2 linked regions of the Schizosaccharomyces pombe genome follow. The protein of the gene in region 1 purifies or fractionates together with the protein of each later gene. This does not show direct contact. Each region holds a gene or a part of one and is shown in the gene's direction. Other genes may lie near its edges. The genes, in order: ssp2 and ade4.

Region 1 (5,477 bases):
ATGAAAGAGTATCTCCCTAATCCATACCTCAAACTTGGCATTTTGAAATGAACAAAGGATTAGATAGAGTTATACTATACTGAAATAGAGGACGTTTGCAATGTAGAGATCTGCGATGTTTACACGAGGATAGTTATACAATGACTGTGAATGTGTGCGACAAGCAAATCATTGTACTGCAGAAACAAGAATTTGTGTCAAAATTTTTAACTCGTTCATGAATTAAATTCAAAAAGAAAGTAGACTTACTGTTTGCCAAGCAATATGAGGCAAAACTCTTATCCCGTTTGCTGACAACAATACGATAAACATGTTAATTCGCGAGTTGGCAAGGCATTGATATGTCTACATCATTAATGATTTTAGGAAAACATATAATGTCTTTTTGCTTTAATTTCAAATTAAACGAAATTAATGTTTTTATTTACTAAAACGCGAGTTAACAAGAAAGTCATTGCAAATTAGTGTCAGCAATACTACCCTGCGTTAAAATACATTACGTTGTGTATCAGCATGTTTCCTTATGTTAATATAGTTTTAAGACCCGTTTAAATACTGATAATCGCGGATAACTGTTCATCTAGAATGTTTGTGGTTTAATAAATTAGGATGAAATATAAATAGAGCCAAATTGAACTCAGGAACGACATTCACTTATAAGCTAGTTTAGTGATGGGTAACGATTTAACCCATATATCAATACATAAAATTAATTGCTACTCATGATATCTGTATACTATAATTAATAAACCACAACGAAATTTACCGTACTACTACACGTAGCGCAAAGTTTTAATTGCGTAGTTTGACCTAAAGCTAAAAATTTGCGAACTAACTTATGGTGGCATATTCTATTATATAAAAAAGTATCACTTTAAATGTGTTTGCTTAACACCTATAGATCGTGATGCCAGACAGCATGTGAATGAAGAAACCTCTATTCATCGTGTGAAATGAATTTTGTAAATAAAGTCCAATCACATGCTAACTTTACTATTTGAATTACAAAGATGCTTTTTACACGAAACTTGTTTACGAGGATGTCCAAATAAAAAAGCATTCCTGTGATTGTGATTTACCCCAAACAAGCTATAAAATTCGTTCAGGGTAAATTGCGCTGTATTTTTATTGCATTCTTATATTATCATACAAGTTGTTGACTTCGAAAACACTTCCCTGCTTTCTAAAAAAATTTTTATTTGGATTTTGATTGATAGCTTTTCTTAGAATATTAAATTTTTTCGTCAAAGCAAAGACTTTCATGCAAGAAACAGTGATAATTAGTCTGTGTGCCTTGTAAACAAATGAAATCAGTTCAGGCTCGTTATATTCATGATCACTGTTTAAATGTTGCTGAGAAATCACATCCAATATGAAGACTCTTTTCTAATAAAAAGCTTGTTCATTTCCTTTTTTTTGTATTAACTCAACCAGTACTTAATTGTTTACAAACTCAACGAAGATTTGACAAGAGCGTTATAATGCGATACACAACGCTGCACTTAACAACCATCTTATGAAGACTGTGGGGTACGCCGTGTGTTCCATTATATCTGGGATGGGTTCTTTACAAACATAATAAACTGCTTAATCATACTTGGATCATGTTATTACTTATACAGCCAAGATTGAAATGCGAACACTGTAACATGTATAAGTATTTTATTGGAACAGTTAACTGGGTTAGTTAAATAAGAGTTTGCAGTTTGCATTAAAATGAATAGTGTAGTAGAATTTTAATTCATTGAGTAAAATTCCGCATTGTGACGCAACTTCGTTAACTAGTAAAACGGTGGCTTAAAAAACTGTATAGTGTTATTTTAAACGAATTAACGAGTCCAATTCATATCATCTCATGTGACACAACTAAGGATGTATACTATGGCTTTGCCTTCTACCAAATTATATATTTATCTCACACTCTGAAATTTAAGCCTTGCTATTAAGGAAAAAAAGATTTTATCAATAAACTTTCAATATTGGATTTGCCAAGCGAATAGCTGATAATGCAACCGCAGGAGGTTGATTTAATGGAGAACTCAACCATGCGAAATGGAGCAAGAGTTTTACCACCAGAAGCCATATCCAAGCGCCATATCGGCCCTTATATTATAAGGGAAACCCTTGGTGAAGGTTCTTTTGGCAAAGTCAAGCGTAAGATTGCTAATATTTAATATCATGAGAATAGAGACTAACGTACTTGTAGTCGCTACTCATTACAAAACGCAACAGAAAGTTGCTCTCAAGTTTATCTCCCGTCAATTGCTAAAGAAAAGCGATATGCATATGCGTGTGGAGCGTGAAATTTCATACTTGAAGCTTTTGCGACATCCTCATATTATTAAATTGTATGATGTGATAACCACGCCCACAGATATCGTTATGGTAATTGAATATGCAGGTGGTGAATTGTTTGATTATATTGTAGAAAAGAAAAGGGTAAGTGGTGCGGTTTGCGAGTTTTTGTTACAGTAAATTTCAGAAGTGATGTTGGATTGGTTTGATTTGTCAAAATGTACAAGTTATCCGATTGTCTTTTTTAAAAATAGAAAAAGATAAATTGTTTTTGCATCTGAAATGTTGCTGATGAAGGCTTGTTTACAAATTTGAATGCACGAATTTATGTATTTGCTGACTGTTTTTAAAGATGACTGAAGATGAGGGTCGTCGTTTTTTTCAACAAATTATATGTGCAATTGAGTACTGTCACCGTCACAAAATTGTACATCGCGATCTTAAACCCGAAAATTTGTTGTTGGATGACAATCTCAACGTAAAGATTGCTGATTTCGGTTTATCAAATATTATGACAGACGGTAATTTCCTAAAAACGTCCTGTGGCAGTCCAAATTATGCAGCCCCGGAAGTTATCAACGGGAAATTGTATGCTGGTCCAGAAGTCGATGTTTGGAGTTGCGGCATTGTTCTCTATGTGATGTTGGTGGGTCGTCTTCCTTTCGACGATGAATTTATCCCCAATTTGTTTAAAAAAGTTAACAGTATGTTTGGCCACTTTTTTTTCTACTTATCTCTTGCTAAACGTATTTAGGTTGTGTTTATGTTATGCCTGATTTTCTTTCTCCCGGAGCACAATCTTTAATTCGCCGAATGATTGTTGCAGATCCAATGCAGAGGATAACAATTCAGGAAATACGTCGGGACCCTTGGTTCAACGTTAATTTACCCGATTATTTACGTCCTATGGAGGAGGTCCAAGGCTCTTATGCTGATTCACGAATTGTCAGCAAGCTTGGTGAGGCAATGGGGTTCTCGGAGGATTACATTGTCGAAGCTTTACGTTCAGATGAAAATAATGAAGTAAAAGAGGCTTATAACTTGCTACATGAAAATCAAGTAATCCAAGAAAAGAGTCATCTCTCCAAATCAAAACGAGTCGATTCTTTTCTATCTGTATCTCCACCCGCATTTTCAGAATATACTTCTGAATTGCAAAAGAAGTCAAAACAGGAGCTTATCGATCCTACTTTAGAAGGACCGCGTTGGACAGTCTCCGACCCTCCAACATATGCTAAACAAACAATTGACAGTAACATATGTGTCCTTGTGCCTACGGCAGAAAAAAATAAACTTGAAATGAGGACTCTTGCCGATGCTGCTAGTGCTGTGGATACGAGCCAATCCACTCGCAAAAAGAGTCGCCGTAACAAATGGCATTTTGGTGTTCGCTGCCGGGGCGATGCACCTGAAATTTTGTTGGCTGTGTATCGAGCTTTACAACGTGCAGGAGCTCAGTTTACCGTTCCAAAACCAGTAAATGGAAAATATCGATCAGACATGTATACCATTAAAAGTCGTTGGGAAATTCCTCATTGTAAAAGGGAAGGAAAAAATACTTATGCTTATATTGAGTTACAACTTTATGAAGTTATGCCCGGGTGTTTTATGCTAGATGTGAAATCTAATGGTTACAAAGATATTTATTCTCATCCTGAACGAACAGCTGATCATGGCATGGATGATCTTAAGTCATCTTTCCCATTTTTAGATTTGTGTGCTATGCTGGTGTGCAAGTTATTTTCTGCATGATTTATTGTAACTCCCCATTTAACACGCTGTTTTCAAGCATCCCTTAATTACCCATTGTTGAACAAATCTACTCAATAGCAAAGACACATTTTATTTTTTTTACCTTTTCTTTTAGCGAATAAGGTTGCATGAAGATACTAGTGTCCGGATTAATTACCGCCATTTTCTGTTGAAACATTTATGAATTGATGAATTTAGTGCCATTGTATTATCAACGGTTTACAGAAGATTTTGGTTTCACTCGTTAAGTATTTATCTTGTTATAACCATAATACATTTGTTGATATGAAATAATCGAATGACTGAATGTTAGGAGTTTATTGAGTCCTTTTACTTTTCATGCGGGTTTTCTCTGATAACTGAAATTTCCCATTTATCTATATGCATGACGATGTTGATTATATATGCTCACCTTTCTTTTAATAATAAAGAAAACCGTTAAGAAAAAAAAAATTTATACGTTTATGTTAATGTAAACGAGAATCAAATCAAAGACTAGTTAATATGCAATTTTTTTTTGCAATTTAAGAACGACTTGCAGCTGCGACATCGAGGAACTAGTCCATAAAGAGTATTATTTTCCTTTATCTTTACTTTAATTCAAATACAAACCAATTCTATTTAAAATACTATGCTAGCTTGTTTGTAATTAGTTGAACTTTATGAAGAAAGCAATTCCCCCCCCCCCCTTTTTTTTTTAAAAAAAAAATTGTTAAAACATCTGTACATCAAATTTTGCAAATTTCTTTTCATAAAGAATGTCAATAGAAATGTCAACTTTAGTGTGATAAAGAAAAAAGCTAATAAAGAAAGTTATAGACACAAAATGTGAATTATGAAACGAGAACAAATGATTGGTATTCTTAATTTTTGTATGTCTCAATATTTAAATTATTTGAAAATCCTACTATATATTCCTCAAAATTTGTAGAAGGTATTTTCATTCATTTTGTCTAAAGGATTCATACATTCCACAGTTAGTATATAGATTAATTTGTTCCATTCTGCAAAAAATAAATAAAAATACTCCGTTCATAGAACTGGTGCACAGCTTACTCTCAAAAAAAAAAAACAATGTATAAATTATGTTTACTATCTAATAACAGACGTTAATATGAAGACCGGTTAATGTATGAGGAAAAAGAGATGGGTTCAAAATCACAAGAGAATGAAGAAAAAAATAAGAGTATAATATCCTTTTATTCTTAATTTTTTCTAACGGAATTCGTGAAAAGATTGATCCGATCTAAAAACGGTGAATCATTTTGTTTACAGCTGGAAAGCCATTTGGCATACCAAGTCCCACACGCCAAAAATGCTTCTTAAGTCTTCTATTATTGTCAATATAATTAAAAAATTAAAAATCTACTAAAATTATATTTTTTTATTTAGTTTTAACTATTAATATACACGATGGTGTAGCGAAGGGT
Region 2 (5,002 bases), on another chromosome or scaffold:
GGTATCGGTTAGCATTTTTTGTGACTTTAAGACGAGTAATTAAATTGCAGAATGAGAGAGAAAAGATCAAAAAGTCTAAGAACACATGCATATCTACTTATACATAAAAATAAATCATACCTTTATAAGATGGGATACAGCACGAAGAGCATCGGCAGAGCTTTTAGAATCATCTAAAATAGTCGGTGCTTCCACGTGAATACGCATATGTCCCTCGTAGCCAGATCGTAACCAAGCATTGATATGGGCTTCCGCTTCTTCCATGCAAATAAGAATAGCAGAAGTAAATCCAGCAGCTTCAAGCCAATATAATGGGTAGTGAAGCATCGGTTTATTGCCGATAGGTAATAAAGCCTTGGGAAGTGCATCGCTTCCAGTCAAAGGATATAAACTAAAACATGGTTAGTATTTTCTTATTGTTATTTTATCTTTTTTAAGTGTTGATGAAGATAATATGTGCGAAGTCATCATTATCCAAATCGTTAAGTAGTCAGTACTACACTTGTTTGTTTTACCTATTGCCAAATCCTGCAAAAACAACAGCTTGAAATTCAATCGGAATAGACTGTAATTGAATATTCCCCCGATTTCGTCCACCAGAAATAGGTCCAAGGATTGAAGGGCTACTGGCTAAAGGAAGTGCAGCATGCTCATACAACGACATTGTGAGATGTTGTTCTTCAAGGCGTTGGATGCTTTTACAAAAGGTTTTTACCTAAAAGGATGCTTTGAAGCCAAAATCTTTTATAACCTGATAGAAGACGAATTATTGGGTTTTTTTGCAGTACGCCAATATTTGATGAAGATGGAAAACCTTACTTTCCTAGATCCCTACTAACGAGCCAAAAGTTTACACGTTACACATCACTATCTGAAATAAAAATGTGCTGAATTTATATTTGTGTTTAGAAAAATGTATTCATGAAATATGAACTATTGATGATTTTTTTTTAAAATGATTTACCAACTCAAAATGTGGAGCTGCTTGAAAACTAATTATTGCTTTGCACTTGTAATTTTGTTTAATGTGCAATATTAAAAAAGATGTTTTAATAATCAACGATTTATAAATCGGTACGTTTTCGCGATCCTGGTTTATAATCAATCCGATAGTAAAAAATATCAATCAAGCGCTCAGAAAATGATCCTCTGTACACCAATTAAGGAACAAATATTTGAAGCCGGTTAGTAAACTATTATTTTGAGGAATCAGAAGATTAGAGATACAGTACATTGTGTATTGTTTTCATTAGTTTTTTAAGTTTAAAAACCATTGGACTACTGCAATCGTAACAAGTTGAACTAAAAGTTTTGGATTAGATTACCCATAGCTCTCATCTCGGTGATTAATGTATTGTTGTTAACTACCGAGTAAAGAAGGAAGAAAAACCAGAACATTGAAAGATTTTATAACAAATAAATAGTAATGGGATACCTCCGGTAAAGCTCAATAATAAGTTGATGTGTATGCGGCATTACTGTAACACTGCACCACTCTTAACTTCATCGAATTTTTTTTGATATAAGAAGGTTTTATTTAAAGATATATTTTTAAGCTTAAAAAATTTTTTTTGGCAACAAAAATAGCAAACAATTTAATATCATCTACCCTGTCAGCTAAGTAGCAAGCTATACCTGTTACCTATATTAACGTGCGCATATCCCACCTCTCTTTAAGCTTCTATTTAGCGAATCGTTCATCACAATCTTGAGCAGTCATAGTTTCGACTCATACTTCACTATCATTTAAGGCGGACAATAAATTAATTTATACGGCAGCAAAATTTTGCCTTAACAATATACCCAACTACGGTGTTTGTTCAGCGCGTACCTGAAAATCTTTTTTTTTTTGTTTCGTACGCGTTTTAAAAAGTAAGTTAATATAGATATTGATTTTCCAACGCCGCAGTACTTGCCTATGATGATTACCGTTTATTTAGATGCTAGACTTCTGAATTTCATCTTATGTAGCTACAAGGTTTTCTGAGGTCTGCTTAATTGATTAAAATTTTTTATTTTCTGTGATGGTAACATACAACTCATTTTACGGTCGGTACAAAAAAATTGAAATTATATTCCAAGTATTCTCAAACTTTGATTGCTGTCCGAATAGAACAGTCCGACTCATATTATTTTAATCAAGTTATAGCAATTTGACTGGGTGCTGTTTTTTCTTTTGTACATTTAAACCTATCATTTTATTATCTTTTGTATTCAATTCACAACCGAAGCTCTAACAAGTTTTAGAAAATGTGCGGAATTTTGGCGTTAATGCTTGCTGACCCTCATCAACAGGCATGTCCTGAAATTTATGAGGGTCTTTACAGTTTGCAGCATCGGGGTCAAGATGCCGCCGGTATTGTAACCGCTGGAAACAAAGGTCGTCTTTACCAATGCAAGGGATCCGGCATGGTTGCCGATGTTTTTAGTCAGCATCAACTTCGCCAACTCGTAGGTAGTATGGGTATTGGTCATTTGCGCTATCCTACTGCTGGAAGTTGTGCTCACTCTGAAGCACAACCCTTTTATGTTAACTCTCCTTATGGTCTTGTGTTGGGCCATAATGGTAATTTAATTAATGGACCCGAATTACGACGCTTTTTGGACACTGAGGCCCATCGTCATGTAAACACTGGATCTGATTCTGAGCTTTTGCTTAACATCTTTGCTTACGAGCTTCAACGGTTGGATAAATTTCGTATAAACGAAAATGATATTTTCGAAGCTTTGCGTAATGTATACGATCGCGTTAATGGTGGTTATGCATGTGTTGCTATGATCGCAGGCTTGGGTGTTTTGGGATTCCGTGATCCCAATGGCATTCGTCCTTTAGTGATCGGTGAACGTGATACCCCCGAAGGAAAGGATTACATGCTTGCTAGTGAGAGTGTTGTATTGACTCAATTTGGATACCGTACATTCAGAGATATTCGCCCCGGTGAGTGTGTCTTTATTCGTCGTTCCAATAGGGAAGATATACTTGCAGGGTTTAGAGGCCCTCGCTTGTTTTCTCGTCAAATCCTTCCCTGCCTAAGATTTACTCCCGATATATTTGAGTATGTCTATTTCGCTCGTCCCGACTCTGTTATTGACGGATTGTCCGTATACCAATCCCGTTTAAATATGGGTGAAAAGTTAGCGCATACTATAATGAAACGGTTTGGTCCCGATTACATGGAAAAAATTGATGCTGTCATTCCTGTTCCAGATTCTGCTCGAACCAGTGCCCTTGCACTTGCACAGACAGCTCAACTGCCATACGTCGAAGCTTTTATTAAAAACCGATATATTGGTCGTACCTTCATTATGCCAGGTCAACAGATTCGTCGTAAATCGGTTCGTCGTAAATTAAATGTTCAACCTCAAGAGTTTTTTGATAAGAATGTTTTAATTGTGGATGACAGTATTGTTCGTGGTACCACCTCTCGTGAGATCGTTCAAATGGCTAGGGAGTCGGGTGCAAAGAATGTCTATTTGGCTAGTTGCGCTCCTATGATCACTCATCCTCATGTCTACGGTATTGATCTCGCTGATTGTAAGGATCTCATTGCTTATGGAAAAACTGAGGATGAGGTTGCTGAAGCAATTAGTGCCGATGGTGTCATTTATCAAACATTAGAAGATTTATTAGATTCTTGTCGTACGGCTGAGCTGACCGAATTTGAAGTTGGTCTCTTTACTGGCGAATACACTACTGGCGCTAGTAAAGAATATTTAGTCCATCTTGAGCAAATGCGTATTGCTAACAATCGTGCTCGTAAGCATAGCTTTGCAGAAGATGAGGAACGTGAAGCTCCCGAAGACATTTCTCTCCATAACACACATTCAGATGTTACTTTTGATTTTGTTTAATTCCCCAATTTATTCAATGCTTAGTGCTTTATTATAATAACCAATCCTCCATTTACTTTGTCTAGATTGATGCTCTAATCCATTGTTGAATACTAATAGAATGTACAATCGCCCCATCAATGGTTTTTTGGTTGATTTTAATTTCTGAATTTTTGTCCTCTTGAAACTTTTCTTGAAATTAAAGATAATTTCATCAGCTCCTTGTTGTTAATTTTACTTTTTGTTACCAATTAATATATATTGTTTCAATATATAAGTTTACCCATACTCTTTAAGACTATTAGATTATAAGTAGTGTCTGAAAAAAATTTTCTACACACTTTTATAAACATGCAATAATATACAATATTGGTTTTTTTTTTTTGGTCTCTTAACCTTTTCATAAAATGAAACATAATTCAAAGTCTGTTTGTACTATTTGCATAATTATGTTACAAACTCTTTCGACGTTTTTACTTGTATAGTCCACCAACTTCTTCATTTCTTTATATAAATGCGTATAACGGTAAAAGCATTCTTTCGTTTAATCAATAACTAAAAACCTATTAATTTAAGTCTATGTTTCAATACAACTCACTGTTTTGGCGAAACTCGTGTTGAATGATTCCGAAGAGAGGGGATTTCGATATCATCAGTGCCTTTTGTGATGATGTCTAGAAAGCGACAGGCATCCTCTAATGATTTTTTTGACATGGAACAGCTTTTGATAGCGAATGATGCATTAGTGCATCAGAATCACTCTACTCCCAATCATGCAAGCGACGAATTGTCTGTGAACGACCCTTCGCCTTTGAGCCGTGGCCTGCAGTCAGATGTCAACTCAAACATATCTAGAAATATCTCTAACACATTCTTTAAAAAGTCGATCTTTTTCTTCGTTTACTATTGTAAGCAAGCTTTAGAATTTATCAGCACTGTATTTTCCATCATAAAGTTTCTTTTGAACCGTCGAAAAGTTAGCTTTTTACTCTCATTTCTTTTGCTTTTCTCGTTGTTTTTACTAATACCTAATGATGGACGAGTAAATATTAAGTTTTTTTATAAGGATTTCGTAGACAGAATTCCTTTTCGGTTCATTCCTTCAAATTTTAATATAAGTTTTGGCAAACACTTGGAACAAGCGAAATCTCTGTTTAAATCCAAATTTGGT

Evidence for each region.
Region 2: the proteins of ssp2 (region 1) and ade4 purify together in Schizosaccharomyces pombe (affinity purification with mass spectrometry, with the first as the bait; one study listed by BioGRID). This does not show direct contact.

The regions. Positions count from the first base shown.
Region 1 is NC_003421.2:1,928,387-1,933,863, reverse strand, and holds ssp2 (serine/threonine protein kinase AMPK catalytic (alpha) subunit Ssp2), read left to right. Parts: upstream 1-1,889; 5' UTR 1,890-2,006; coding exon 2,007-2,154; intron 2,155-2,206; coding exon 2,207-2,439; intron 2,440-2,647; coding exon 2,648-2,999; intron 3,000-3,049; coding exon 3,050-4,047; 3' UTR 4,048-4,674; downstream 4,675-5,477. UniProt on the Schizosaccharomyces pombe protein: Serine/threonine protein kinase essential for release from glucose repression via the phosphorylation of scr1 upon glucose deprivation.
Region 2 is NC_003424.3:5,363,210-5,368,211, reverse strand, and holds ade4 (amidophosphoribosyltransferase Ade4), read left to right. Parts: upstream 1-1,793; 5' UTR 1,794-1,872; intron 1,873-1,914; exon of another isoform or gene 1,915-1,989; intron 1,990-2,089; exon of another isoform or gene 2,090-2,247; 5' UTR 2,248-2,250; coding exon 2,251-3,852; 3' UTR 3,853-4,224; downstream 4,225-5,002. Other genes in the region: translation initiation factor eIF2B gamma subunit tif223, read right to left, coding at 121-391, 516-664; protein Csi2, read left to right, coding at 4,499-5,002.